Mus musculus: one gene and its partner. The protein of the gene in region 2 purifies or fractionates together with the protein of the main gene of each other region. This does not show direct contact. Links are inferred from orthologs where the notes say so. Each region holds a gene or a part of one and is shown on either strand. Other genes may lie near its edges. The genes, in order: Rexo4 and Rbm28.

Region 1 (15,390 bases), on a different chromosome or scaffold from region 2:
TGCGAAGGCTAGAGCCTGGATTTTTTTTTTTTTTTTCTACTAGTAATCGAGTTGCTTGGACTTGCCCATACCTTAGGCCTAGTCTCTTTAACTGCCAATTTGAAGTGTGTTGCGGAATCTGCCTAGCCTTCTCTGTGCTCAGAACTTGGTCTTGGGGGGTGCCGGGGAGGGGGTGTCCTGATTGGATATTTTTCCTAACAGCCACCACCAAGTCTCCCAAACCTTCTTACGTGGTCTGTTGGCTTTGCTGCTTATCTCTAGTCAGAGAAACCCGAGGGCAAACGATTCAACTGTGACCGCCCCATCTGTATTGCACTATCAGGATCAAGAATAGATTGCTGGTCATTAACACTGCGATTAAGAATGTATATGTATACGTATATAGTCACAATTAAATTTTGCTTTATCATTAATATCGGACACTGCTGGCGTGCCTTTGCAGTCAGTAAACCAGAGACGTGGGGAAGGCTTCGGTATTCGCAGTGTGTGGTTGTGCATAGGGCAACCTACACAAGACCCGCCTCCGCCTCTTCCGTACCCCCGTGAGTGCCACACCGAGAGTAGTCCCCCAGCCTTTTCCGGTGTCCCAGAGTCTCCTCATTTGCGGCCTTCCGGGACACCAGATCTTTGTGAAGGTCTGGGCTCCCTTCCGTCAAACTCTGGGTATCCAACCGCAGCGCTGCTAGCCAGGGCTGTCAGCCCCCAGTGCTAACTAGCGGGCTAGTCGCAGAGTCCGCATACGTGCGGAACCAAAGATGCAGTCTCGGTTTCTAGCAGGTCGCGAAGAGAACAGCAACCCGGGTTCCCGCATGCGCAGTGGAGCACGCTTGCACCCTGGGAAATGTGTGCTTGCGCGGTTGCTGGAGTCGCGGTCTCTTCCCTGGTGGTTCCGACTGCGGAGAGCGGGGAGATGAAGACGAAGGCCACCGCGCCGGTGCCCCAACCTGGGCCTATCAGGAAGCTCGCTAGGAAGAAAGCCAAGAAGAAGTTCAGGAAGAGCAAAGCTCTGGCAGGAAGTGGGGTTCCGGGAAGCCACCCGGCGGCTGTGGCAGGCCGACCGCCGAAGGCCCCCGAGAACTTTTCTCAAAATTGGAAGGCGTTGCAAGAGGTGAGACCGGCGACAGGCCACCTTCATCCCGAACTTTCTGTCAGGTAGCCACAGACTCCGAAGGAGGAAGGGATGTTGCCCTCTGCTTCATTCAAATTCTTTTTCTCAATTATGAATCACTTATCTAGGTTGCCACCCTGGCAACGTCTTAAACTATGTCCCAGAACTCTGGCCCAGTGGTTCTGGAACTATTGTAGCTCAGGGTATACCCACACTAGTGGTTGTCCTCCTACATTAGGTAGCCTCCCTAGTCCTGAGCCTCTATACCTACCCCCATTCATAAATTCTTCCATACTAGTTAGATGCTTTTTTTTGTTGTTTTTGTTTTTTCGAGACAGGGTTTCTCTGTGTAGCCCTGGCCGTCCTGGAACTCACTCTGTAGACCAGGCTGGCCTCGAACTCAGAAATCTGCCTGCCTCTGCCTCCCGAGTGCTGGGATTAAAGGCGTGCGCCACCACGCCCAGCTTAGTTAGATGCTTTTACTGCCCTTGTTTCTTAGACGGGGAAATTGTGACACATAACTTACAGGGTTTGAGTTGAAAGTAGGTCACATACGGTGTAAACAGCAGAACTGGGGTGCTGAATATGCCTTCACTGTCGACTTCTAGGGAGTCTTGAGGAGTGTATGTCATGGAGCCTCAGTAAGAAAGACAATAAGGAATTTCTTGGCCTCCATAACAACACTCCACCTTGTTCCTTAGTGTGGATCTTCCAACAGGACACCCAGGAGCAGCCAAACCCTGTGGACAGTCAGGGCTGTGTATGCTGGTTCTTGTTCTTTCTCCCAAGAAAGTAAAGTGTGCAGGGAGGACATGTTTACTAAAGGAAACTTGGATTTGGCTCTGGTTTCTACAAGAATCTAAATCCTTCAGGCCTTTTAAGTATTAGGGGAGTGAATAAGTAGAAACTCACTGCAACATCTCTCAGCTGGTTGCCATCTTGTTGTGGTCTTAACTGGAGATTTGAACACAAGGAAGAAATTGGTCTCCTGGACCTCTCCTCTACATGGATCAGCCCTATCTGGTTTCACAGGACTTCTTTCTTTCCATTGAACTCCCTTCCTCCAGGTCTTCCTTAGATTCTGAGCTGTAGCCGCCTCCAGAGATAACGGAAGTGATCACTGTGTCCCACAGTGTTGACCATGGAAGTCACTAAGTGAAACTCCAAATAAAGAAGTGAAAAGCACCATTAGTGGTGATGGGAAGTGCATGGATGATAGAATAGATGTACACACAAGTTTCTTGAACCTGTGGTATGTCAGTTCAAAATTAAATGTGGCTTTTAACAAAATAATAAATGTGGCTTATATTTAATTTTGATTCCATTAGCTACTGAAACAAAAGTCACAGGCCGCAGAAAAACCTCTTGTCTCTCAGATGGATGACAAAATGCACCCCCAAATAATCCAGCAGAACAGAAAAAAGGCCTCAGATAAATCAAAGGGAGACAAGCAGAGGACAGAAAAGGCCAAGAGCACTAGGGGTTCTGTTACATCTGCACCTACGGACAGGAAGATACTAGTACCTCCCACAGATACCTCTGGAACAGAGCAGAAGAAAGGAGCCAAGAAGAGGACATATAGTGACATCTCTTCTCATCAAGGGGCTCTCAAGCCTAAGTGGAAAGCTACGGAGGCAGCTGTTATCTTGAATCAGCCCACGCCCACTGAGTAAGTATCAACTCTGCTGTGGTGCCTGGAACATCCACAGAAACAGGTGATCCACTGTCTTCACCACCACCGTTCGGCCCTGGTACAGTCTTCTACCCAACCCTGTGATATTTGTTTGTTCGTCCCTTGTTTCTCCTAGAGTGTGGGCTGCTAAAGGCAGACCCTATTATACAGATAATACTGTGTCTTTGGGCCCCAGTGTAGAGCTTGGCACAAGGTAAGAGCCAACAAAAACTTTTTCATAGTGTGTGCTGGACCCAGAAGGACTCCTGTGAAACCCAGTCCTGCCTTTTTGCCAATTGATGGCTTTCTTGCATCCTTTTATCCTCAGTGTGGTCATCTGTACAGTTAGGGGGACTGAAGTGCACTATGTGTTGCTTAGTGTCTTTTGCCTGCTTAATGAGCACTGTGATAACACCTAGCCTGGATGGGATATGCTTATAAGGCAGGTTGGCTTCCTGCTGCCTAGGATTTTCCTGCCTTCCCTTAAACCTAAAGAAAACCTTGGTCTGGGATTATACAGTGGAGGGTGCGGGCAAAGGGGAAGGAGAACATTTCTTTGGGAACTGGTATGGGAAGTGTGTTTATGAGAGTTGTGTCAGATCAAGCTAAGTGAGCCCATGACAGGCTACAAGATTCAGCTGCTGAAGGGTAAAGGGACGTGAGTTTAACTGCTTCTGCTGAGTTATATAAGCAGGCTGGATTGGAGAGACTACAAGGCCCCTCCCTCCTAAGGCTGATATAAGCAGGAAAGACACACAGGCATTTTACTTTAGCATTTGTGTGTGTGGCAGGAGGTGTCAGGGTATCCTAGTGAAGAAAGCAAATGAGCAGGAAGCATGCGGCCCATCAGTTGAACCTTTTGAGTAAAGATACTGAATGTCTGGAATTCACCAGATAGCCATGAAGCACCCAGTATCAACTCTCTCATGCTTCCAAAGTGTGCACAGGGTACAAGGCACAGGTCCCTGTCTTTTTTTAAATTTTTAAATTTTTTTTGGTTTTCGAGACAGGGTTTCTCTGTGTAGCCTTGGCTGTCCTGGAACTCACTTTGTAGACCAGGCTGGCCTCGAACTCAGAAATCCGCCTGCCTCTGCCTCCCTAGTGCTGGAATTAAAGGCGTGTGCCTGGCTCACAGGTCCCTTTCTGCCATGCACTCCTCTGCTTGTGTTTCTTGACCAGTAGCAAACCTATTGTGTAATTGGAAAATGCCTGGTCATTATACTGAAGTAGGTTACATGCTTCTGTTTCACATTCTGTTTTATCTGTAGTTCTCCTAAGTCTTGGATAATAGATATATTTGCAAATTAAAAGAACAGTAGTGAGGGCTGGAAAGGTGGCTTAGGGGTTAAGAGTGCTGGCTGCTCCTCTAGAGACCTGAGTTAAGTCTCCAGTGCCAGAGATCCGATGATGCATGCCCTCTTCTGGCCATCAGGCGCCAGGCATGCAAGTGATAAATATAATGCATGGGTGCATGCAGGCAAAACAGGATACAAATAATAAAGGAATGTGTGAGAGCAGATTCAGCTGGACTGAGTGTGGAGTGTAGAGGGGGAGCCATCCTGCCAGAGGTCCTTTCGCGAAGCATCCATCTGTGTCCTGGGTCTTTTCACAGCCAGGCATTCTCATCTTTGTCTCATAGGGAAGACATCTGGTTTGATGATGTGGATCCAGATGATATTGAGGATGCCATAGGCCCAGAGGCAGCCATGCTGGTACGGAAGAGGCTGGGGCAGAAGAAGAGGACCATCTCCCTGGAGAAGGAACAAGCCTTTGGCGGGTAAGCTGAGCTCGGGCCATAGCTGCTGGCAATGTTACTCCTTCTGGGGCTGGGATCATGGGAGGAGGAGCAAGCACTGAGCCATGACTGCCCAGCAGTCATGGGGGTGCAGAATGAGGCTTGGCTCACTGGCCTAGAATCCCAGCCCGTGATATCTATTACACTGGGGCCTTTGGTTCCCCTAGCTTGACAAAAGCCTTGGCCCTGGATTGTGAGATGGTAGGCGTGGGTCCCAAAGGGGAAGAGAGCATCGCAGCCCGTGTGTCGATCGTGAACCAGTATGGGAAGTGTGTTTATGACAAGTACGTCAAGCCAACTGAGCCAGTGACTGACTACAGGACAGCCGTCAGTGGGATCCGGCCTGAGAACCTGAAGCAGGGTATGACTGATGTCCATAAGATTTGAGTGTAGTGGTGGAGATGGTAGCAGGACTCGTTTCTCTTCAACTTCCCCTTCTGTGTTCCAGAACATGGCATGGCAGGGGTCCTGACACTGCTTAGCTCTTCCCCAGACTTTGCAGATACAAAAGGAAAGATACCTTTCCTGGCTGTTGTGCTGTTTGTGTCCTGGGCTCTTGGATTATTTTCTGTCTTGTGGCAGTAGGGAATAAACTGGAGCATGTTAGGAACCAGGAGGGAAATCTTGAAGAGTGAGTAGGCTACATGGTAGGAGCTGGGAGGACAGATCACAGGGTCTCTTTGGGAAATTAGTGCAGTAATGGCAGAGAGGCCTCCAGCAGGATCCTTGTGGTCATGACATTGAGTACAGGGTAGGGGTCAGAAGACTGGTTCTGAGGCAGGAGCTAGGTAGGGAGGTAGCTGGAAGAAATGAGCCAACATAGCAGAGGGAGGCTGGGTCTGATTTATAATAGGCGAGAACATCTAGGATGCTTGAGCCTGCCTCCTAGGGAGACCTGGAGACCACTAGGGATGCAACCGTGTTTTTTTTTCCCCCGTTCCTCACCACCCACTGCCTGTTTGCTTCTCCTGGTACCCATGGCTAACATAGTATCTCTGTTGTTCCATAAACCGTAGGCTGGCCAGCCTCTCTTTCTTTTTTTTTTTTTTTTTTTTTTTTTTTTAATTTTTTATTAGGTATTTAGCTCATTTACATTTCCAATGCTATACCAAAAGTCCCCCATACCCACCCACCCCCACTCCCCTACCCACCCACTCCCCCTTTTTGGCCCTGGCGTTCCCCTGTACTGGGGCATATAAATTTTGCGTGTCCAATGGGCCTCTCTTTCCAGTGATGGCCAACTAGGCCATCTTTTGATACATATGCAGCTAGAGTCAAGAGCTCCGGGGTACTGGTTAGTTCATAATGTTGTTCCACCTATAGGGTTGCAGATCCCTTTAGCTCCTTGGGTACTTTCTCTAGCTCCTCCATTGGGAGCCCTGTGATCCATCCATTAGGTGACTGTGAGCATCCACTTCTGTGTTTGCTAGCAGCCTCTCTTTCTATCTCAGAAGAGAGGTTGGTCCTTTAGCTCTGAATAGAGCTGGGCAGTGAAGTAGTTTTGGGGCCCATTCTAGTAGAGGTGGGGGCAGGGTGGTCCTCGAAGGCTGTCAACTGGGAAGGAGCAGCACAGCAGACCCTAGGGTCTGTGCAGCCTCCTTTGCACTGTCTGGTTCGCAAATCCAGTCTGACTCTACTTAGGAAGTCATAAGTATGAGAATGGGAAGCCTGTTGCCAAGTGTCCCTGAGATAGTCTAAATGTTCCTGGACTTCTAGGTTAGCAGTAGTTTGCTAACTGGTACCAGTCCACTGACTGTGATTGGCTTTGAGTGGAGTTCTTGTCTTTTTTCCAACTGTCTCCAGAAGTGGGAGCAGAGCACAAGGCATAGTGGGGTGCCTCCTAGCCCTTCCACTTCCCTGGAAAAATGGACACTTCTAGGGACCTACCTCCCACCACAGCTTTGTGTATCATGAAGGGCCTGACCTGTTGTTACCAGTCCGGCCAGGAATGGAAGGAACTTCCCTTAGAATCTTAGTGAGTTATGTGTTGTTAATCATTTCTTCATTTGGTTTTCAGGAGAAGAGTTTGAAGTTGTGAAGAAGGAAGTGGCAGAAATGTTGAAGGGCAGAATCCTGGTGGGGCATGCGCTACACAATGATTTAAAGGTGCTGGGCTCTTCCATGTGAGCCACACAAGCCTTACATCCCTGTCTCCAAAAGCACTACTCTGGAGGCTTTTTCATTTTGATTTTTTATCTAGACTTGGGATTTCTCTAGGAATAGTGTCAGGTACCTGATGTCTGGCTGTGTTCAAGAGACCACATTAGGTAGTTTTTGGAGTCCCGACTACATTGGGGGTTTCAGTGCCAGAGTATTGACAGCTCAAAGTAGGGGAGTTTTGAATGTCACCTACCTGACATGGCAGATGGCCTGGTGTCTAGCTGTGTGCTCCAGGGCCAGAGACAAATCTATGCACCCTGTCAGAGCCCTAGGGTTCTTGTTATGTGTCCAGTTTATATCTGGGCATTGCTGCGATGCTGGAAGCCCACCTACCTGGGTTTATTAAATGGATCACTTTAAGTTCACAAGCAAACTGCTGCCTAATCCATTTGAGGGTGCAGCAGGAAAATGGGAGCATAGTCGACTTGGCAAAAGGGACACCTCTGTTGTCACCTGGTGTGGTAGACTCCAGAGACAAGGTTTCTTTGTAGCCCTGCTGTCCTAGAACTCACTAAGTAGAACAGGCTGGCCTGGAATGCAAGAGATCCACCTGCCTTTCTGCCTCCTGAGTTCTGAGATTAAAGATTACTTATTTTTCTGTGCATTGCTGTTTTGCCTACCCTATGTGACAGTGCCAGATTTCCTGGGACTGGTGTTGTAGACAGTTGTGAGCTCCCTTATGAATTCAGGACATTGAACCCAGATCCTCTGGAAGGGATCCAGAGCAGCCGGTGCTCTCAACTGCTAAGCCTTCTCTCCAGCCCCAGAGATTCTAATGCCAGACATCAGAGCCTTGCCGGGTACACCAGGAGTTACACAATGTAAACAGATCTTGTTTAATCCTTTGAGGAATAGGCTTTTGTGGGTAGCAGAGCTAAGTGTTAGGGGGTTGGGAGCAGATTCCAGGGGAGCAGTGGATATGCATTCAGGGACTTCTCCACGGCTCCTCAGCATCCCAAGTTTCTGAGTTGAATGTTGCTGCCGCTTCAGCTATCCCTATAGGAAGGGAACTGAATGGGCACGTGCTTCCTCAGGGTGTCATTCCAGCTAGTCACCTCCTTTAGAGGCCAGCCACAGCCAGCCAGTTAGGTAACTGAGCTCAGAGGACTCTACCGAGTGCTAGGGCATGTGACAGTGGACCTTGTCCTTCCTGGATGTGATCTGTAGTGCCACTGTATTCATGTGTTTCAGGAACCTCTAGATGGGAGTTTAATTCTCATTCAATTATTTGGGGCTAGAGATGTATGTAGCTCAGTGGCAGAATGCGTGCTTCGTGTGTAAAGGCCCAGGGTTTCGTCCCAGCACCAAAAAAAGAAAATAACAAATGTTCCAACAATTAAAAATTAACCAAAGTCAACTGCTCACTGATATGATGAGTCACCTTGGAGAAGACTGCCACCAGGGCCACACCTGCCTCCTCTAGTGGGTCACTTTTTTGGACCGTATGAGTCTAGAAGTGTGTTACATTGCGGGGTGAGCTGTTAGATCTCACGTCTTGCTCCCCCATGTGAACAACCAGCTCAGAGAAGTCAGCTGCAGGTTGACTTTTTCGCAACATCGTTGATGTCAAGATTTTGTTTATTTTTCATTTATTTATTTATTTATTTATTTATTTATTATGATTAAGTACACTGTAGCTGTCTTCAGACACACCAGAAGAGGGCATCAGATCTCATTTCATGTGGTTATGAGCCACCATGTGGTTGCTGGGATTTGAACTCAGGACCTCTGGAAGAGCAGGCAGTGCTCTACACCACTGAGCCATCTCACCAGCCCCTATTTTTCTTTTTTGAGACAGGGTCTCACTGTATAGTCCTGGCTTGCCTTGAACTCACAAGAGATCTACCTGCATCTATCTCTAGAGTGCTAGGATTAAAAGTATGCAGCACACCTGTTCAAGATTTTATTTTTATTAACATGGTTCTGAATATTGGGCATCGCCTTAAGTCAGGGAAATGACCTTGCGAGACTGCTTCTTCCTGAGTGTTAGCACCCAGCGGTGCCAGCCCTGTGAGACGCATTGTTACAAACTGAATGGAGATACTTGTCATTTTCTTGTAGGTTTTGTTCCTTGACCATCCAAAAAAGAAAATCAGGGACACTCAGAAATTCAAACCATTCAGGAGTCGAGTAAAGGTACGGAATGAATGAGTCTTGGGCCGTGAGTAGCCCCTGGCACTGACCCCTCTGGCTAAAGGGATCTAGTTTGTTTTGGTTTCTCACTTTAACCTTTAAGAGTACTTGTCACTGAAGTCTGGCAACCTGATTTTGATCCCTGGAACTCCCATGAAGGCAGGAGAGGTTGTCCTCAGATATGGCTCAGTGGTACTCGGTACTCTTGCAAAGGACCTGAGTTCAATTCTCAGCACTCAACGTCAGGTTACTCACAATCCCTGTAACTCCAGTACCAGGAACTCTGACCTTCTCAGGCCCTGCAATTATGTGCACATGCCAACATGCAGCCAGACATACCTATATATAACTAAAAAGAACTTAAAAAAATTAAGCCAGGTGTAGTGGATCACACCTTTAATCCCAGCACTAAGGAAGTAAAGATAGGCGGATCTCTTGAGTTTGAAGCCAGCCTGGTCTACAAGGAGAAACCCTACCTTTAAAAAAACTAAAATAATTAAAAGCACTCTACCACTTGGAATATTGCCAGCCCCAGCTCTTCCTCTACTAGCTGATGAGCAATGTCATAAGCCATAGCAGGCTGATGGTTGCAGCCGTAAGTGCCACATACTCCTGGTGAAAGGGAGAGTGCGGGTCACTCGAGTGTGCTCAGGCGCCAGCTGTGTCCTCTGTGGGCACAACCTGTGGAAGCAACACATTCAGTGGAATTCTTTTCTCTACAGAGTGGACGACCGTCTCTGAAACGGCTTTCTGAGAAAATTCTGGGGATCAGGGTCCAACAGGCCGAGCACTGCTCAGTGAGTATCATTGGGTTACAGCCCCTGACTTTTTAACACCTATGGTTCATTTGACCATAGAAACAGGAAAGGACCCTAGGCAGAGCAGGCTTACAGAATGTTGTTATATCTTACATATTTACATTTCACTTGAACTCAATACAAAGAATAATATAGAGTAAGGATTTGGACAAAATTCACCAGTCTAATTGAAGGCTGTTTGTATACTTCCAGTTATTGAGTAATAATACCTGAGGTGGGGACTTCATGGTAATGAGGCTTAGCTGATTGGAGAGAGGCCAAGGAGGAAGGAGAAACAGGTCACTCTTGGCAGAACTGACTGGTGCCATTTGACCTCCCACTAGACCCAGCTCTGAAAGGTCCCACTCCCCTTCATTGCCACACTAGGCTCCTGCGTGAGGGTGGAACCTTTCCAAACCCTAGCAAAGGAGCTTTAGGACTGTATGATTTGAGGTTCTCGGTCCTAACAGGTCCTCCTGGCCAGGCAGTGTGCTTCAGGAGAACAGGTTCCCCTGTGCTGTAGCCTCTGACTCTTTGAACCCTTCTGCCTGTCTCAGCTGTTGTCTGCTGTGAAGCTCCAGCTTCCTCCTGCTGTGGGGCCTCCCTTTCTGCCCCTGTAAACAGAGTGGCTGAGTTTGAAGCACAGGAAGTTAGATTCAGATTCTGCTAAAAGTGGTGCCCTGACCATTTTGTATGGTTTTCTCCTTCACTGCCCTTCCATAGTCACCCAGGGAGAGAGAGAGAGGGGTGTGTGTGTGTGTGTGTGTGTGTCTGTCTTGGCTTTGCAGCCTCAGTAGTGTGGCTGTCATGAAGACTCAGTAGTTGTAGGGTTACTTCTGTGGCTGTAGTCCTGTGTTCTCACTAGCTGGCTGGTGGAACATTACTGTCTGTCACCCAGATCCAGGATGCCCAGGCAGCAATGAGGCTTTACGTCATGGTGAAACGGGAATGGGAGAGCAGTACTGCAAACCGGCGTGCCCCAGCTGCCACTCCACAGCACCGCATCAAGAACTCTTAGCACCATCCTACTGCTGTCGCCACCACCCTGTCCGTCAGAGACTTCTCAATCCAGTGGCAGTTGGGATGGGGTTATGAGGCCTGTCAGGTCTATGCACAGCAGGGACTCTGTCTTTGGTGAGCTTTCTCAGAGCCATGGCTGCAGGCATGTGAGCTGCGGGAACTTCCTCCTGAACTACCCAGGGCCTAATCATCCAGCACCTGTGTGTTGAGGTAGACTGGTCAGATACAGGGCAGAAGTCAGGGGTGTAGGTTCGAGGAAGGAGAACATCATTGGAATGGAGGAGAGTGCTGCAGAGTCTATGTCTGCTGACCACCTGTGCTACCACTTAACAATGAGCATAGCTGGTCTCAGCCAGGGCACTCAGCACCTTCCCTTAAGGAGCAAGAAGCGCCTTCTCTGTCAGGTAAGGGGATAAGCTCTGCTGGATCCAAGGGATCCAGGCTAAGGGCGTTCAGTCTGCTGCAAACCAGTCTGGCCAGCACAGCAACCGCCCATTGAGGACTTTCTTAAAGCTACTGGGCTGGAGGTCCTTTCCCACTCCTTTGTCCTTTGCTTGGCCTAAGATGCCAATGCCCCGCCATGTTTTCTCCAGAGAGTCCTTGGGGTGAGCCTTGGGGCACAGGTACACTCAGAGGTCTGAGAGCCTACCATGTGGAACAGTGTAAGCAGAAAGGCCATCTTCCCACTGTCCTGCCAGCAGCTGTTCTGGGTAGCAGCAATTGCAGAGTGACCAGTGAACTTTATGGACTTAGCTGACAACTCCTAGAACATGTGCACCCATGCATATGATGACAGATGTCTGCTTTTAATGCAGCTGTGGACTGAGGTGTGGCTCAGAGGACACTTGTTCACTAAGTGTAAGACCCTGGTATCCTTTCCTAGAACTGTCAAAAATAAATGGATGGATCAAATGGAGTGTGTGGAAGTTCATGTTTTTTCCCATCATCAAGGCAGGACCACTGACAGCAGGCCAGGCATGCCAGAAACAGCCTAGGGCTTCTTTTATTAGTCACCATGGGGTACGAAATTAATACTGGACCTAGTGATACTTTCTCTTACCACAGGACCAGAAGGGCAGCATGTCAGGGCCTGAAGAGGGGCTCTCCCTGCAGTGGGGCTTCCTGCCCTGCAGGAGGCTCAAGCTGATCCTCCTGGAGGCCAGGTTGTGCATTTGCTTCCAGTACCTGGAGTATCTCATCAGCGTAAGAAATCAGCTCCTGGAAGGAGGAAACGAGAACCATTTGCTACAGTGGCCTCAAGATCCGGGAGCAATTACTTTGACGACATAAATCCTACTGATGGGATCTTTCAGGTGGTCTGGCTGCACTTCCCATTTGGGATTGGATTCAGCCCAGTCACAGGGAAAGGCATCATGTGGAGCTATGAGTCAGTGCAGTGCAAGGGTTCTGGCTCGATACAAGGTGTCATCATCACTTACCAGGCTGGAGGTAAAGCGCCCCCGGATCACCTGGACTAGGTCTTTGATGCCTCCAGACTCCATCTCTGGCAGGATCTCCTCTGCAGGGGAGCAGAGAAGATGGTGAGGCTAAGGATACCCGCTCACCAGCCAGTTACGGTGCCACTGACTCAGAGTAGATAAGTGGCAAGGTACAGGGGTTTGAGACCAGGCTCTGGGGCTCCTTCCCTTCCTGCCACAGAGAGGACAAGGTAAGGGTCCTCACTGTAGGAGGTCAGATGGGCCAACAGCATGCAGAGGTTCTCCACCACCTCAGGGTCATCCTTGTAGAGCTTGTAGATATCTTGGATGAGGTGGAGGCCGCTGCTGCCCTCTTCCAGTACTACTATTCGGAAGGCCACCAGTTCTGGAGTAGGGAGGCAAGGAGATTTGTGTGTATAATATAGTCCAGTATAGCTCCTTTGCAGCCACCCTTATTTCTCAGCTCCCTGTACTCAGTGTCCCCGGGAAGTAGCATGACTGGTTGTAGGGTTGCTGGGAGAGCTCTTCTGCCAGGAGCCCTAGCTTTCTGTAAAGGAAGCTCCTAAGTCAGGGCTGTCCCCTGCTCTGTAAATGGTAAGAGGTGTTTGCAATACTTGGCTTCTCTGCAGCTCTGCACTTGTTGGCAATGAGCGCCACGCCCAGGGGAAATACAGTGCTTATGTTCCTCTTCCCTGCAAGAAATGGAATGGAGGCCTCGGTGTGGTGCTGTGGAGAAGGGGCTCCTGTGCAGGTGGCCCTCTCACCCTGCAACAGGAGACTGAAACCTCCCTTACAAGGTACTTTGTTTAAGGGTGTCAAGAGGAAATAAGATTCCCAAGTGCCCTTCAGGAGACCCCACCAGTTTGAGTAGCCCAGTCGACTGTCATGAGTAGAAATGAGCAGGAGTGAAAGCAAGGAGACAGCCCTGGGAGCCCTGAAGGACCCGGGTGGAGTGGGAGCATTCCTACCATATGCTGCTCGGGACCATGGCCTGCCCCTGGGCCCAGGGTTCTCTACAAAGAAAGACTGCCAGTGCTTAGTATGAGACCTGGCATAAGCTTGAACTTGGAGATGGACTGATATGTAGGAGACTCATGTGGCTATAGGATGTGTATATAGTGGGGGTGGGGGGTAGACATAAGACACCAAACGTGGACAAGTCCCAGTGGTGTTTCCTGGAAGCTATTTCTTCCTGTTCTAGTGTGGGGTCACCAGGTGAACATCATTGGAGGGAGCTGGCTTTTGTTCCACCCCCAGCTGGCAGCTTGACTTGTCCCAGACTTACCGGACACCTTTGCGAGGCTGGCCAAGCCACGGAATGCATTGTTCACCAGCAGTACTCTGCCAGGGCACAGCTGGATGCTTCTCAGGAGCAGCACTACCACCTGCTCAAACTGACTCTCCTTTATGCAGCCTACAAAGAACAAGCCTTGTTGTCTGTGTGTCCAGGGTCACCCTCCCTGTTACCAAGGCCTCGGGCTACTCACCCAACAAGGACAGCAGCCAGAGCACCGCACAGCCAGCCTCTGCTATTTCCACGTCCTCCGGATGAGTAGCCAGCACCCAGGTGACCATGCCAGAGAGCTGCTCCAAGGGCTCTTTGTCCACAGTGACAACTAGACCCAGGACAAAGATGGGGACACCAGGCCAGGTATGAACAGCAGCACCAGCTGTCTGTGTGCCCCTCTACACTGTTCCCTCCCACCAGAACAACAGAGAATCAAGTGGACATGAGGGAGATGTCCTCAGAGATGGAAAATGGGGCTTTCCACTGCCAGAGTTTGCAGTAGAGTCATCAATAGAGATGGGGACTTTCAGCATTAGTGGCATTAGCAGGATTTCTGTGGTACTTTGGGGTTGGCATGGCTTGGAGCTCTCTTTCCTTGGCAAGATAATATCTAGAAGAGAAGGTCAGGCCTAGAAACCCCCATTCAAAACCCAAACCAGGATAGGGCCTCAAATGCTCTAGTGACCTCTGGAGTCAGGGGCAGCCTACTCATTGGACAAGGTGTTCTAACTTAGCCCACTAGTGTCTCACTGTGCCCTCTTTGAGCCATGGGGCCTAGGATTGCCCTCCTATGCTTAAGGAAGATAGAGAGCTGCAGTTCTTAACCTGTTCTTCACGACAGCTGGTACACTTCATGTTGTAGTGACCCCCAACCATAAAATTATTTTTGTTGCTACTTCATAACTGTAATTTTGCTACTATTATGGACTATAATGTAAATATCTGTGTTTCCTGATAGTCTTAGGCAGCCCCTATAAAAGGGTTATGCCTGTGGGGTCAAGATCCACAGGTTGAAAACGGCTCTAGTAGATCTCATGTAGTGGGGCTTATGCAGGAGTGCCTCACCATCTACCAGGAGGGACCAGAGCAGGCTCAGGATAGAGAGGCAGATGTCCCTGTCCTCTTGGAAGTGCTCCAGGTTCTCTTGGGCAAGCTGAAACAACCCCTCCTCTTCCAGCTCTTCTGAGATCTGTCCTGTAGGCAGCCATAAACACTTGGAGGGGAAGTTTCCAAGAAGCCTTCCCCAGCACTACCTTTTCTCAGTGGGCTGATGCAATACCTAGTCTGCCTGGCTGGTCTACTTTAATGCCTAAGCCTAATACCCCTCTCGCCCAAGTGGGCTCAGTGTGGGTGGGGAAGAAGTCTAAGTGGCCCAGTGCCTAGCCTTGACTTGACCAGCTAGCCAGCCATTCAATTCTTGGCCACTGTCCCGAGTTTCCAAGCAGTGCCCATGGCTGCCACTCAGAACAGAGAACAGCGTGGCTATCCATCTTGGGCATGGGCCCCTCTCCTGCCCATCTCCCAAGGCCTCTATTCTGTCCCTGGCTTTTTAGAGCAGAAACAGAGCAAAAGGCCAACACACCTTGGCTGGAAATAATGGCAAGCACGTTGTAGACCACATTAACAAGCCTTTCAGAGTTAGGATGGCTCCGCAAGGTATCCATCAGGAAGGAGATGATCAAACTGCTCCTTGGGATCTCAGCTTCTGGGTCCTTTGCCAGTGCTGATTGGGCCAAGGAAAGAACATCAGTCAACCCACAGCTAGGGCTCTAAGATGGAAAGGTGTCCTCCCTCACTGGGAATAACATCACCTCTTGGAATTAAAGTGTTTATGGGCTCTTGCCCAGTGGTACAGTGATTGCCTGGCATGCAAGAGGACCTGGATTCGACACACAGCCCTGAGAAAAAGACCTAGTCTGTGTGGAGGTTAGGCTCAGTATTAAGACTGGAAAGGTAAAAGGGTAACGAGGTGCTCCAG
Region 2 (15,390 bases):
CCACCAGAGAGAGTCTTAGGAAACGGAGTAAACTCCTACTTGGCAGAAGCACAAAGTGGAAAAGAGGACGTTTAATTAAGCCCCTGAAAAAAAAAAAGGCTGGGCATGAAGGCACACACCTTTAGTCCCAGTTGAGGCAGAGGGATCTCTGTGAGTTCTGAGTTAGTCAGAGCTAGAGACAAGGGCCAGGAAGATGGCTCAGCAAGTAAAGGCACTTGCCACCAAGTCTGATGGCCCCAGGATACACATGCTAGAAAGAGAGAACCGAGTTCCCCAAGTTGTCTTCTGACCTCTAGAATCCATGGCACAGGTCCATAGGCACACACGGACACAGACAGACACACGACAAAACCAAACCCAATTTAGGTTCCATACCAGGCTGCGTTGGATCCTCAGCTCCTTCACTTTAAGTTTCCTTCGGTCTTCTAAAGAGAACTCCACTATGGGTCTCTGGGAGGAAGAAAACGCCATTCCTAAGACTTTACAGTCTGTGAGGGCAGTGGGCCCAGGTGCTCCTCTGCCCGCTTCTCCTTCTGTCAGCTTTGAGGCTGTTTCTCATGTCTTCTCCAAAGGCCAGTTCTGCAGGCAGTGTGCCCAGTCTCGCTCTTCAGGAGCCTCTCACCCAGATTCACCATCTCTTGTCCCCACCTCCACCCTGCCCACCCGGTGCTCCTTCCCACCACTCACATGTCAGGGACTCTGGGAAAACAGGTCTCTCTGAAGCAGGAGACTCACCTTTTGGGACCCAAAGATCTCTGGGTTGTTGTTGAAGTGGCGGAGGGCTCTGAGGGCATGCTCATGCTTTTGGAACTCTGCAAAGGCATAGCCCAGGGACTGACCCTTCATTTTCCCATGAACTCCTTTAAGGTCCCGCATGACTCTACACTATGGATAGAAAAAGAAAGAAAAGAAAAACAAAACAGTAGTTATGAATAAGAAATAATGTATTTGTTTGCCCAGAGAAAAATGTATTTGTTGCAGTAAATCTCCAACCCAAATATGCCCCAGCAATGAAAACACAACTCAATTAATATGAAATACATGCTGTGCACTTAGGTTGGGCAGATCTACTGCTACACTGCCATCTTCCACATCTAAGGGTCTCACAGATGTGGAAGATGGTAGTGTGGTGGTAGATCTGCCCACCTATGAACTTGCCCTTTAGAACTTGCGGTTTCTCCAGGCCACGGGCTTCTGCTCCGCCTTCCCTCTTCCCATCCCCCTCTGCCTCTGCGTCCTCTCTCTCTGAAACCTCCTTCTTCTCCCAACTTTCCACTCCACCTTCCTCTTTTTCTGCCCAATCTTCAGCTCTCCTTTGTTTTACAAATTAAGGTGGGAAGCAGGTTTACAAGAAACCACCTGAGTGTTGACTCATTCCGTGTTCACAGCTACTCACAGGAGAATGGAATTAACATCAAATATAATTAGCCCCAGGGCTATCCAAAACATGTATTTTATTTTTTAAGATTTATTTTGTATTTTTTAAAATCTTATGTGTAGGTGTATGGCCATGTGTATGCATGTGCACCTGAATGCAGTGCTCATGGAATCTACAAGAGGGCAACAGATTCTCTGAAACTGGTCCTGTGTAAGAGCAGTATGTACTTAACCACTAAGCCATCTCTTCAATGCCCTGAGAAAAATCTGTAATACTTCACTGTTCATAATGCATGTAATGAGAGGTGCGTGACTCTTCAGCGTCTCAGCATGTTACTGCTGAGAACAGAGAACTGTCCAAAGACTCGATCCCTGAAGGAAGGAAATTAATGGAGACGGGAGGAAAGAAAACCTGATGGTTTTAGACTTAAAAAACATGTCCTGACATGGGATAAGCCTCAGAATACAGGCAGCTTCAGCTGTTCGGGGTTAGAGTCAGAAACTCTTTGATGCACTTTTTTCTCTAAATGCCAGGATACCGTAAATATCCTTAGGGTCATGAGGAGCACAGAAAATAATTTGAGAAAATACACCACTTATACAATATTACTGCCTGGAGCAGCATGCTGTTCTTCTGTAGCGGAGGAGTCTAAGTATGAAAGCCACAAGCATAGTACAACGGCTCCGTGCATAGATCCTACTCTGTCCACTGCAGAGGAGAAGAAAGAATTCCTGACTTCAATACGCTCACTCGCTTAAAATATCATTCAAGACATCTCACAAATGAAGGACATAAGGGGAAAATAAAATGCTTTTGTCATGATTCCTGGGGAGACGGAAACTAACATCTACTACCCAAGACAGGAACCAAAGATGTCCGTCTTTTGTCAAGGCAACACCAAAGCCAGCTGCCGAGCCAGACTTTACCGGGGTGACTTACAGAAGCAGAAAGGACTCAAAGACAGCTCCACCACCAGAAGCCCACGAGCTGAGCTCACACGCTGAGCGCCTGCAGTTCACTGCACAGCCTGAAGGCAGCTCAACAGGTCAGTGTCTTTTCTGGGTAGCTCAATGGTCTGGGCTTATCAGGTCTCAGCCTCTCCCCAGGAGCTTGGCTGCTGGGCCTCTTCTAGGCTTCAGCCTGTTTGAGAGTCCGTCTTAGCAGTCCCTACCGCTTATATATGCTTGAGGAGTAAGAGGTCTAGAGTATCCAGTCAGGCTCAGAAATGTCCTGAGCCTTTCTAAGCTTACCAACCCACCTTCCTCCAAGATGGAGGCTTTATCTTAGAGGAAATAGTTACACAACCAAAACATAGACTGTACAATGTAGAAGTGCGCTAAACTGTAATGAGTTCAAAATGGGCATACATTAAATACTGTGGGTACTCACCACTAACTGTGGTGTCAGACACGCTCTGACACATTACTGTTCTCTCATGCTATTTCCTCAATACCAAGGAATATGTTAAAGAGGCCTCAGGGTACTAGGCATACAGTTTACAGCTATAAAACAGCAAAGCACACCTACAATATTGGCAATGGCATTTTTAAATGTAAAGATGAACAGATTATGCCAAGTATCTCCAGGATTGGGGATAATGAGATACTATCTATCCTCAAAGAGCTCAGCTTGTCTGGAGAAACCACCAAGTCTGAGGCCAGTATAGAGGTTAACAAACGGTAAGGCCTTCAAAAGAGACAGAGCTGAACTGAATGCTAGTGTGAACTCATAGTCTTCTAACTCAACTGAAGACATGCACAGTCAACATGAAGACTGTGCTTACGGCGGAGTAATATTGAACACACAGTCAATGCTACCGTAGGAGCTAGGGGAAAGGCACAGGGGCACAGTGCTTGCCCTGTGTGATGGTTTGTATATGCTGGGCCCAGGGAGTGGCACTACTGAGGTGTGGCCTTGTTGGAGTAGGTATGTCACTGTGGGCGTGGGCTTTAATAACCTAGTCCTAGCTGCCTGGAAGCAGCCTTCAGATGAAGTTGTAGAACTCTCAGCTCTGCCTGCACCATGCCTGCCTGGATGCTGCCATGTTCCCTCCTTGATGATAATGGACTGAACCTCTGAACCTGTAAGCCAGCCCCAATTAAATGTTGTCCTTTATAAGACTTGGTCATGGTGTCTGTTCACAGCATTAGAACCCTAACTTAATGTCTTAAGTAGGAGAACCTGAGTTCAGATTCCGAGAACCAATGTAAAAGAACCACTAGGCATGGTGGTGTCTGTAGTCTCAGTGGCCCTGTGGTGGGATAAGGAGCTTCTGTAGAAACAGAAGCTCTAAGAACAGTAAGCATGGCTGTGCAGGGAACCAGAGCCTGACTCCAGGGGGACCGTGAGGACTGTCCTGACATCTCCGTGTGTGCCCTGCATGTGCTCTGTGTACTTCCTCTCTCCTCCCTCTCCCTATTTTCTTCCCTTTTCTCCTCTCCTTGTCCTTCCCCCCCTTCCTCTCCCTCCCTTTCCCTTTCTTTCAAATATATGCATGTGTATGCACGCAAACACACACACACACACCCCACCCCTCTTTTAGGAACCAAACCATATAAATTGTATTCTCTGCAACAAACTTTGCATTATATTATTTATATAAATCTGACCACACAGCAGGTATTGAATAAATGCTTGCTAAATTAATTCATGACAGAGTTCCTCACATTTTGCTGTAATTTAGTCAGATATGAAAGACAGTCCTCTGCTGGGCGGTGGTGGCGCACACCTTTAATCCTGGCAGTTGGAAGGCAGAGGCAGGTGGATTTCTGAGTTCAAGGCCAGCCTGGTCTACAGAGTGAGTTCCAGGACAGCCAGGGCTACATAGAGAAACCCTGTCTTGAAAAACCAAACAACAACAACAACAACAAACAAAAACAAACAAACAAAAAACCAAAAAGAAAGAAAGAAAGGAAGGAAGGAAGGAAGGAAGGAAGGAAGAAAGGAAGAAAGGAAGGAAGGAAGGAAGGAAGGAAGAAAGAAAGAAAGAAAGAAAGAAAGAAAGAAAGAAAGAAAGAAAGAAAGAAAGAAAGAAAGACAGACAGACAGTTCCCAGAAGAAAACCTGTTGACTTGCTGGCACCACAGCCTGAAATGAATGCTCGTGCCTGAAGGCTGTGCATGGCAAGGCATCACTCACCTCCTTAATTCGAACCCCCTTCTCTCCTCGAGTGGCCTCCAGCAGCAGCTTCCTTAGCTGTTTATCGTCCACAGCCTTTGGGAGATTGTGCAGGCAAAGCCTGGTCTGCGAGACAAAGATATTCTGGTTCTTGAGTTTCTGATGTTTCAGTAGCTCAAACTGGGAGAAGAGAAAAAGACAAGCTCTTAACATACAGCACATCTGTTAGGCAGGCTCCGAACTGTCCAAAAGAAGAGAATCGTAACCCCATCCCATGGCCACAGTGCGCCTGCCTGCCTGCTGCCTTACAGTACCCAGCAGAGAGAAAAGCAGGCCCAGGGAGGCGAATGGTCATGAACTCCAGAGTCAGAGCTGAACCAAAAAGTCATCCATTTGGAGAAATCAAATGACATTTTAAGATTCAATTTTTCATCTATAAAAGTGGAACTACAGGTCAATATTCAACTCTCGGCATGGACATGAGGCCAAATGAGATTAAAAACAACAAGCTGGGCAGTGGTAGCGCACGTCTTTAATCCCAGCACTTGGGAGGCAGAGGTAGGTGGATCTCAAGAGTTTGAGGCCAGCCTGGTCTACAGAGTGAGTTCCAGGACAGCCAGGGCTACACAGAGAAACCCTGTCTCAAAAAACCAAAACCAAAAAACAAACAAACAAAGCAACAACAAAAACCCCACATAGCTCAAAATGTGCCCAGCACAAATTTGTTTTTGTTTTTTCAAGGCAGGGATTCTCTGTACAGCCCTGGCTATCCTAGAACTCGCTCTGTAGACCAGGCTGGCCTCCAACTCAGAGATCCACCTGCCTCTGCCTCTGCCTCCCAGTGCTGGGACTAAGGGTATGCACCACCACTGCCCGGCTTGGCACAGCTATTCTTGTAAGTAATACTGAAGTTAGTGTTTATGCTCAGTCCTCAGCCACTCAGCAACGGGGATTTCTAGTGCCTCCTTCCTAGAGTTAGCTTATTTTTTATAATGCACGGAAATAATCCAGTAACCTATGGCTAGCAAAATTAGTTCTAAAACTCAGTATATCTTATTGCACTGCTTCCCCAAATACCATGATATCCAGATATTCAATACTTTAAAAAAATTTTTTAAATACTACTATAAAAACCCTATGCTGAGAAGACATTTGTTTCCACCGATCAATATAGCATATTTGCTGCTTGCCATCTCCTGAACATTAAGGTTCCATAGTTGTTCCCTTCTTGGCTGGCTTTTTACCCTTTAATTATCTTATTTTCCTATAAGGTGTGTGTCTGTGTGTTATTCTGTACACACTGTGCATGTGCTGGAGGTCAAAGGATAACTTTAGAGGCTGGATTCTCTCCACTGTAGGTTCTAGGGATCAACTCAGGTCAACTAGGCTTGTGCAGTAAGCACTTTTACCCACTGAGCCACCCCACTGGCTCTAGGCTGCCTTTTTAAAGGAAAACTGCATAAGCTAGGATAGAGCCCAGCTGGTAAAGTGTCTGCCTAGCACACACGGCATCTGGAGTTTAAACTTCGCACCATGGATACTGGCATGGTGGAGTGGGCCTGTAATCCCAGTACTCAGGAGATAGATGGAGGAGGATTAGAAATTCAGGAATATTAGGCTACACATTGAGGTCTGCCTGAGCTACATGGAACTATCTCAAAACAACAAAAGTAAGCAACTACTGCAAACACTGCTAAGCAGCAAAGGTGTCAGTTAACAGTAGAAACACCTATAATAGGAAGTTGTTCCACATAATTGTATTAATTTAGAGATACAATCCCTCCGAATGGCATCTTGGCTACTCTTTCTGAAACCCATCTCCTAAACATTGAGGCTCCTCTTGTTCCTAGTAAGCCTGCCTACTCAGCTTCCATCCTGTTGTTTTCCATTTATGATAACAATTATACACAGGCCCTCTCTCTCCACACCTACTGAGTGAGCTAGCGGCAGTTCCTCAGAACACACACATGCGTACTACAGAAACAGAGAGCAAGACTGAGCTCAGACAACAGGACGGAATGCTGACACAACAGCAAGAGTACTGTCCAGTCATTTCTCCTTTACCTATGTGCTTCTAACATGGTAAAGTGTGGTCCTTATACGTGGCTCTTCAGGAGCACTGTGGCAGCAGTGATTGTTTCTGACTCACTTACATAACCATGAGAGCTAAGGCTGGTGCCTCATCTACTCACCCGCTCGCGTTTGGCCATATCTGCGGCACTCACACCCTCAGCAGCCTTCGTCCCAGCGCGGATCACTGCAGAAAGAGGGAAAAGGGCCAAGATGTCACCAAGGGAATGTTCACTGAGCAATAGGAAGAATGTGATTTGAATGATGCAAACCCTTTGTACTAGACCCTAAGGACTGTGTTGGCCAGTTAGTTAGGTCCGAAAATAGCTACAAGGCTAAGTTCTAGACTTAGACTTGCTCTAAAGACAAACTGAACATTTTGTAATCTTGTTCCTCTCTGCCTCCAAAAAGCATCACATTCATGCTGCAAGTTAGACAGCAAGGCGTGGAAGAAGCTCTAAGTGCAGCTAGAATATAGAATGTTCCACCAACAAGCTGCCCCTGAAACTGAGGTGCTCACGTATGTGGCTGTCAATCACTCAGCAATTAATTAGATGAGCCAAAACAGAGAACAGAATTATGGTCTCAGAGGCTTTGGATCCAAAAGCTGACAGCCTAAATTTACTACCTGGAACTATGCATCTACGCAGGAGTAGGCTGATAAATACTTACAGCTATTAAACATTTAAAAATCTATCAATAATCAAAAAAAAAGTCACTTTAATTGTATTTTTCAGCCACTTAAAAACAAAAACACCTCATCAGAAACGAAGACAAAAGCAAGTAACTTAGGAGTTTTCTTCCTTGTGCTTCCAATCCTGCTACGTAGATAATCGGAGGCAACCAGACAGCAGAGAGTGAGACTGCTCAGCCTGCAAGAATGGGTGACGGTTCCTAACAAAGCCGCATCTACTCAAGTGGAACAGCAATAAAACACTGTTTTATTTGGAAATTTGGGTTTTATATTTGAAACACAATTGCTGGTTCGCGCTCAGGTCATGGGTGGGTACTCAGAGGCCTGGTTCCTATCTTCTTCTGATACTCACAGCCTTCTCTGGCCAGATAGAGGTTCCGGGTTCCAGTTGGCTTCTTCACCTTCTTTGTCTGAAGCTTTGCTGCCTCATCCCGGGTCACAGCTAAGTCGACCTTGAGCTGTCGGCCGTCCAGTTTAAGCCCACCACCCTGAAACATATTGCAACCTTCTCTTCAAACAGGGAGCAAGCAGAAAGTAAGCAGATAGCATGGAAGAGCAAGAAAAGGGACTCAGCACACTGTCACTGTGCCGTGGAGGCCAGGCCCCAGGCCGCATCTGCCTGGCCAGCTACACGTGGGTCCTTGAGGCTCAAAGGTGGTTTTACAATTGTACAAAAGGTCACATCTGTATGTACTGAAGAGCATCAGCAGTAAGGAATTTACTTTACAGTAGCTCAGTCCCAAAGTAGGCCTAAACTGAGGAAATTGTTCTGTAAACATGTTTAGTATTCTAAAGCTTGTGTAAGAATATTTAAGAGACAAGGACAACACAGGATAACATCTCAGAAACTGAATGCTTCATTTAAAAAGCACAGAAAGATTCTCAGTATCTACACTACCTCTACCAGACACTCAGACAGGTTCACAGACAGCATTGATACCTTCTTCCAGTCTTCATGTTATTAGTGTAGAATAGAGGCTGATACATAGGCAACAATCAATGAACACTAGAAATATCAAATTTGTTTCTCACTTAAGAAATATGGAGCCGGGCGTGGTGGTGCACACCTTTAATCCCAGCACTTGGGAGGCAGAGGCAGGCGGATTTCTGAGTTCGAGGCCAGCCTGGTCTACAAAGTGAGTTCCAGGACAGCCAAGGCTACACAGAGGAACCCTGTCTCGAAAAAAAAAAAAGAAAAGAAAAAAAGAAATATGGGCAGCTGCAATCATCTCAAAGCATGAATTAAGGTCACGCAGGCTAAGCTCAGTGCCTAGCGAATATTAAGTGCTCAAGTCTTCACTTTATTAAAAATACATAATAATAAAAACCTGGTGCAGACATCAGCTCTTGCCTACAGAAGCTGCCGTGTTCTAGGCACAGGGGAAGGACATGCTTTCCTTACCTCAGCCTCTAGAGAGGCCGCTGCAAGACATTTCTGAGCTGCTTCCTGAGTCATGAATTGTGCGAATGCACAACCTGTACAAAGATACAAAATGTAGTAAGATACACCCTCGCTTCCACAGTGAGCAAAGGACAACACTGAAAACACCCACAGCCTGACACAAATGGGAGGGGAAGCAGCACTTGGGGAACAGGTACCATGTTAAGTGCTGAGGGATCATAGCCAGATACTGTAGCATACACAGCCTTTCCTGGCAATTGGTCCCAACTATCTCCTTAATGATACTCACAGGAAATGATAAAGAAATCCAGCCAACCACTTAATTCAACATCATGGGGTGCCTAGTAGAACCCTGGAAGATGAGCTAGAAATATTTAATCCTGAAATTAATTATATTTCATAGTCTTAAGATGCCTGAGGCATCAAATAATGGTAGATTCATCTCTTGGGGTAAAAGAGGCCTCTATTCTATGAATATTGCAGGGAAAGTCATGAGCTCAGTTGTTGGCTTATGCTCTAGAATAATTTTTAAATGGTTTTTTAAAATAATTTATTTTTATTTTGTGTTCATTGGTGTTTTGTTGCATGTATGTTTGTGAGGGTGTCAGAAATTGGAGTTACAGATGGTTGTGAGCTGAGGTGTGGGTGCTGGGAATTGAATACACACACACACACACACACACACACACACACACACACACACCACCTACTATTTTGAATGAGGAGGGACCTGGAAAAGTACATAACTTAATATTAAAGCTATGCATTTAGCTTAGGTTGCAAAACCTGACTGGGAAATTCAAGGCACAGTTAGGTTTGTGACATGTTCTCTTTAAAGCAGTTAAGCTTAAAGAGGCTGAGTATACAGTAGGATAAATGGCTAAGTACATGGTTCTAAATGATCTCAAGGCATATTGTTAACTTGATGGCAAGGCCTGGAAAAAATTCAGTCTCCTTGGGGGCAAGAGACTTTTTCATTAAAATGTGTCATCATACACACACCCCTATGAAACATAAAATAGTTACATTGTTCATAGAGAATGGAAAGGCCATACAAGTTCAATATGGACCACTTTCTCCCCAAGTGCTTTTGCTTTGTGTGTGGTTGACTCCACTGATGTGTAGTCCATGGGTTCCAAGGCTGAACTGTGTGTGTTTCTTCTTCTATCTCTGTTAGTGGTCTGTGCTGTCGTAGGTGGTTCAGATTCCTTAAGTCTTTCATATTTGTGGAAGATGCTACCTGGTTAGTATGTGAATAACAGATGGGAGGTTGGGGACACAGAAGTAGGAACACTTGGCCCTGTGTTGGGGACTTAGAAAAGATCTCTCTAGATGGTGACTCCTGAGTTAGCCTACTATATTAATCTATGCTTTAGATTAATCTGCCTGCATTCATTTCAGTATGCGGCAGAAGATAATATCCTAGCTCTGGGAGATATGGTAGTCTTATATGAGAGAATTCTTTTTGAGTTTTGAGGTGTAAATATATTATGAAATAGACACCATTGCTCTCTTCAGACACACCAGAAGATGGCATCAGATCCCATTACAGATGGTTGTGAGCCACCATGCAATTGCTAGGAATTGAACTCAGGACCTCTGGAAGAGCAGTCTTAACTCTTAACTGCTGAGCCATCTCTCCAGCCCAGAGTGGAAGCAATCTTAGACAACAAATATAAACACTGAAAGCAACAGGTAGACATGGGCTGGTAACATCTGTTACTATAGCTCCTGTTGCTATACTGGGTCTGCTGGAAATAGTATTCCTGTCAAAGATTTCTATAAAGATCCCTCATTGCTTCCCCATACCATGCTTTCTGTACTGTTCAATTAGTATGAGGCAAAGTCCTTTATTAGGGACAGACAGTAGACACAAGACAAGTGGACAATTCAAATCAGGCTTACACTAAGCCCAACTAATCCAAGAGGAAGTTGCTTTATTTTTGTTCCTTAATACATATACGATCTAGAGATGAAAGTGTATGGAAGGTATGCATAGGTTATATGCAAACACTGTGCCATTTTATATAAAGAACTCGAGTACTCGCAAATTTTGGTATTTGCCATGGTCTTGAACAAGACCCAGTGGGTACTGAAGGACAAGTGTAATGAAAGAAATAAAGGATGAAGAGGTAAAAGATTTCTAACAGGCAGATTGCCTAGTCATCCCATAGCAAGAAAATCAGGCCAGGTATGGTGGTGAACACCTTTAATCGCAGCACTCAGGAAGTAGAGGCAAGCAGATTTCTGTGAGTTACAGGACAGCCTGGTCTACACAGTGAGACCCTGTCTGAAAAGAAAAGAAAATAGAAGGGGGGAGTGGGAAGGGGAGGGAGAGGGAGAGGGAGAGGGAGAGGGAGAGGGAGAGGGAGAGGGAGAGGGAGAGGGAGAGTCCACAGTATAAGGAAATCACTGTCTCAGAATCAGTGCTGGCTGGTTCAGTCTCAGCATCTCCCTAAGGTCATGGATCACGGTAGTTCTAGGCAGTAAAAAGGCTTGCTAAGAGAAACAAACTGTCAAGGAACACAGAAAAAGTATCAGAAAATTCCAGCAAGTTAGAGCCAGCAAATGACAGAACATTGAAAAAAATTAAAATTATGGTTTTAAAATGATTAACTATCAAGACTGAGGGAACAGAAAAGACGTCCAGCAAATCACTTGTCGGCTACATTGTAGAAGTGTTAATCTAAGAGATAAAAGTGAAATAGTGCCGCGCCCGCACTCTGGGTGTTCTAAGAGATTCTAGTTGTCCATTCCAGAAAAACAAACCAGAACTGAAAAAGGTCCTGAGGTGTGACCATCAGAGCTGAGGACATTTTATTACCCTAGTCACTTACCAGGCAAATAAGCCGAGCTCTCAGTGAGCCAATGTCCCTACCTCCAGGGAGCTGTTCAGTACTGCCTACATTATTTTAACTGAGTAAAGGTAAAATTGACCAAGTCTTATCTAATCAATTCCTATCAGTTGAAAAGTAAGGTTTAGAATGGAAGTTCTTAACCACGGATAAACTCTTGAGAAGCCACAAGGCCTCAGACACAGCGTTTTTCTGAGGAAAGGGCTCACAGCCCTGCTAGGGAGTCAGTGAACGATGACCTCAAGGCTTATGATGGTTTACCTCCCTGTGACTTGGCTGGGCAGAGAACCACCCCGGAGACCGAAGCCACACCCTCTAGGTATATTTGTGAGTATGTTTCCAAAAGGAGCAAGGGGAAAGATCTTCCCTAAAGGTGGGTGGTACTTCATGGTCTAGGGGCGTGGGCAAAATCAAGGATGCGGTGAGAGCAGACCGTTAGCACCAGCCACCCTTTCTCGACTTCTTGGCCCAGCATGAAGATGAGCGGCTCTGCCTGTGCTCCCATCAGAACAGACTTCATGCTCTGAGATGGGAGCAGAGTAAGCCATGCTTTCTTTATGTCAGGATAAAGCAAACACAGAGTAATGGGAAGCTTAAACAGAACGGCTGCAGTCCATGGGGTAAGAGCTTAGAAACAGGCTAATGCGATCTATGTGTATCTGTTCACACACTAATACTCAGCCCTGTGCTAGAATGAGTGCTGATCCCTCAAGAGTAACAAGCACTATGAGGATAATATTCCCGCACCACTCCTATACATAGTTTCCCTCTGACTGCTGCCATGCAACAAAGTTTCTGTCAGTTTCTATCTCTAACAAAAGCATCAAAGAAAAAAGTTCCCTATTAATTCTGAGCAATGTAGAATGATTAATGCCCATGAGATGCTATCACATTTGAAATGCAAAGGAGAACAACAAATAGAATTCATTTTCTTAAAGTAAGTAAGCAAGAGCTTTAAAGGCTGAGACAAAATTAAGGCTGGCAAAGCCATTAAATTGCTGAATTCCACGTCACGAAGGACAATCTCAAAATGTCCTTGGGCTTTTAATGGAAGCCAAGCCAGAGACAGAACAGACTGTGTACCGACCAGAACGGCATGGTTTATGCTCTTTCCTGATGTCGGGCCTGGTCAGCCGAGGGCAGTACCTTTAGAATGCTCTGTGTCTGGATGCAAGACAACTCGGACATACTTAAGATCCCCAAACTGTTGGAGGACCTCGCCAAGTGCCTCTTCTTCTGAGTCAAATGAAAGATTTCTGTGGAAGAAAAACAGGTCACACGAATTTCAGTGACAAAGCAAGACCTTGAGTTTTGATCTGAGGTATATGAATTAGACATCGACAAATGATGTCTGCCTTGTTCACATCCATTCTCCCTTCTTCAAAATAGCAGTAGCACACAAGAGCGGCCCCTAGTGGCTAAGCCTTGGTCTATCAGTCTGGCCCTATGTCCCAACCTTCCTATATCAGATTCTGTCACTTGAAAATTTAAAATTTAATAGACAAAAAAAAAGCCAAAAAAACTAAAAGCTGCAGATATAGATACATTAACTTCGAAACTGAAGTGTCACAGATACTGGAATGATACAGATATGCTATAGCATGACCTGATAATCATGTGGCTATATAAATGAAAACTTTGCTTAGCTGTACCCTTAAAGTAATACACTTTACAGAAATACCTTGTGCCTTCATTTTTTTTTTTTAAAGATGGCATCCTAGAGAAAAGACCCACAACCTCCAGCAGCGGGAATCTAAATTTCCCAGACTTTCACTGCCTACTCAAGATTTGCATCTAGACAACACCGATTCTGTGAACAAACCAGTATTCATCCAGTCTGTTCTCTTTCACTCACTGGGGCTGAAATTAGTTTTTCTTATTACAACCAGAAGTTTTCACGGGAGTCTGGTAAGAAACATGTTTTTCTTTTATTGAATTAGACATATTCCCCGCCATGTTTATATGAAATCTGGATCTCAGTTAAAATTTTCTAACGAGGGCAAAATCTTTCAAAATAACGCAAAAGAAAAACATGTTAAGATGACTAGGTCACGGTGAGATGACTAGGCAAACGGGAAGGGAGAAGGGGAGAGAGAAAGGGGGAAGGGAAAAGGAAAGAGCAGGAACCATACATTGAATATCCTTAATCTGAGAAGCTAAAGCTTTTTGTGTATTTTTAAAATGTTTAGTATGCATATACATGCATGTGCACCATGAAATGCATGTGATGATTACAGGACAATTTGTAGGAATCTAGTTCTCTCCTTCCAGCATGTAAATCCTGAATATCAAACTCAGGTTGTCAGGCTGTGTCAAGCCTTTTCGTACCAAGCCATCTCACTCAGCAGTCTGCCTACAATTTAGTAAACTAACCTGACCTAGAAAATGCAGTAGGACCTAACTCCACTCTGTATATTCCCCTGGAAACAAAAGGCGTATCTTTCTGTATTCTGGACATGACTTTAAAAGAGAAGCTAGAGGCTAGCTGGGATGTAGCTCAGTTGGCAGAGTGCTTGCTGGTGTCTTAGTTTGCTTTTTATTGCTGTGATAAAGCCATGACCAAAAGCAAGCTGGTGGGGAAAGGGTTTATTACAGCTCGCCCCTGGAACTGGAGTTGCAGACTGCTGTTGAAGGTATGAGGCCAAATCTGCTTTTGGCCTACAGAATCTCCCATGCACACCCTCCTCTCCATCCAACAGTGGCTAACTGGGGAGTTTCCCCCCAAACTCCCTACATTCCTACACTTGATAAGTACATTCCATTCAGTTCTGTGTGGTTAGCAAAGCTTTCTTTTCACTTTGGGCGGTTGTACTGCTAAGATCTGGAGTCCTCCGCCTCTGAAAACCCTGTCCACAGGTTCTAGATTCTTCCTTAGGCCCACTGGGGTCTCTCTCTTGGTGACATGAGTCTGCTGTGACCCCTTTGTCCCAGAGATCTCAAGATACATACATGAAGATGCCCAGTCTCTCAACTTAGACCCACGGGCCTCCACTGGTGATAGAAATGTTTCCTGCACCAGTAAAACACATTAATAGTGCACTTTAGCTCCCAAATGCATCTCTGCTTTCCCTTCTGCTGCTCCAAGCCCTGTGCTGTGACTCTTACACTCTCTGAACAGTCCTACATGACACTGTAAGCCTCTGCAGCATTTCAGTCTTAGGAGTACTGACTGGCAGGCACTTCGTGCTCACCAGCTGCTGGGCTGCTCATGCAGCCTACCTCACCCACACCTCCCTACAGCCCACACTGCCTGAGCCTACCTCAGCAAGGATGCTACACTCCTCAGGCCCCCACTACAGGAGGTCCCCCTTCTCCTTACCCATCAACTGCCCGCCCAGCTATACTTATTTCCACGTCAGCCCTGCCACTCTGCACAGCCCAGTCTGCCCTCCAACACTCCGTAACAACCCCGTATCTTCTCTCCAGTCTCCCTAGGAACTGCAGCTTCCTGAGCCCTATGTCTGGCTCACAGTGAGATCCTTTCCTCGCTATCTCCTCCATGAGCTGCCTGCTAAGTCTGACAGCTCTCTTGGGTCCCTCTGGGCCTGCGCAATGTCCTTCTTGGAAGTCCTGGAGCTTCTTTATGTCCATGTCTGGGCTACTGTGACCCCTACCCTTCACTCCCTCTTCTGCCACTGTGGCCCCCAGAACTTGTTCCAGCTGCAACCTAACAGCTCCTCCCTCCCCCTCACCGTTGTCTCTTCAAAAAGCTCCCTCCGTTCAGCCTGATGGCAAGCCCACTCCAATCCTAAAGCCAATTTCCCACCACCTACCGTCCAGACGCCAGCTCTCCCTCTGCTGCTACGCTACTGTTACAACTGCCTCCACTTCCTCTTCCCAGCTCCCTTCCTAAAGCCAAATTCTCCACTGTTGA

The links.
Region 1: the proteins of Rbm28 (region 2) and Rexo4 purify together in Homo sapiens (affinity purification with mass spectrometry; 3 studies listed by BioGRID and IntAct, with this or other methods). This does not show direct contact. The link is inferred for Mus musculus from reciprocal best matches to the Homo sapiens genes RBM28 and REXO4.

Annotation. Positions count from the first base shown.
Region 1 is NC_000068.7:26,949,770-26,965,159, reverse strand, and holds Rexo4 (RNA exonuclease 4), read left to right. Parts: upstream 1-773; 5' UTR 774-841; coding exon 842-1,108; intron 1,109-2,436; coding exon 2,437-2,777; intron 2,778-4,419; coding exon 4,420-4,557; intron 4,558-4,742; coding exon 4,743-4,936; intron 4,937-6,592; coding exon 6,593-6,681; intron 6,682-8,796; coding exon 8,797-8,871; intron 8,872-9,590; coding exon 9,591-9,665; intron 9,666-10,563; coding exon 10,564-10,683; 3' UTR 10,684-11,597; downstream 11,598-15,390. Other genes in the region: serine/threonine kinase-like domain-containing protein STKLD1, read right to left, coding at 11,769-11,903, 12,125-12,204, 12,369-12,509, 13,410-13,538, 13,612-13,740, 14,478-14,606, 14,995-15,135.
Region 2 is NC_000072.6:29,130,892-29,146,281, forward strand, and holds part of Rbm28 (RNA-binding protein 28), read right to left. Parts: intron 12,773-15,390; coding exon 12,663-12,772; intron 8,736-12,662; coding exon 8,662-8,735; intron 7,748-8,661; coding exon 7,612-7,747; intron 6,753-7,611; coding exon 6,688-6,752; intron 4,676-6,687; coding exon 4,517-4,675; intron 886-4,516; coding exon 736-885; intron 451-735; coding exon 376-450; intron 1-375. UniProt on the Homo sapiens protein: Nucleolar component of the spliceosomal ribonucleoprotein complexes.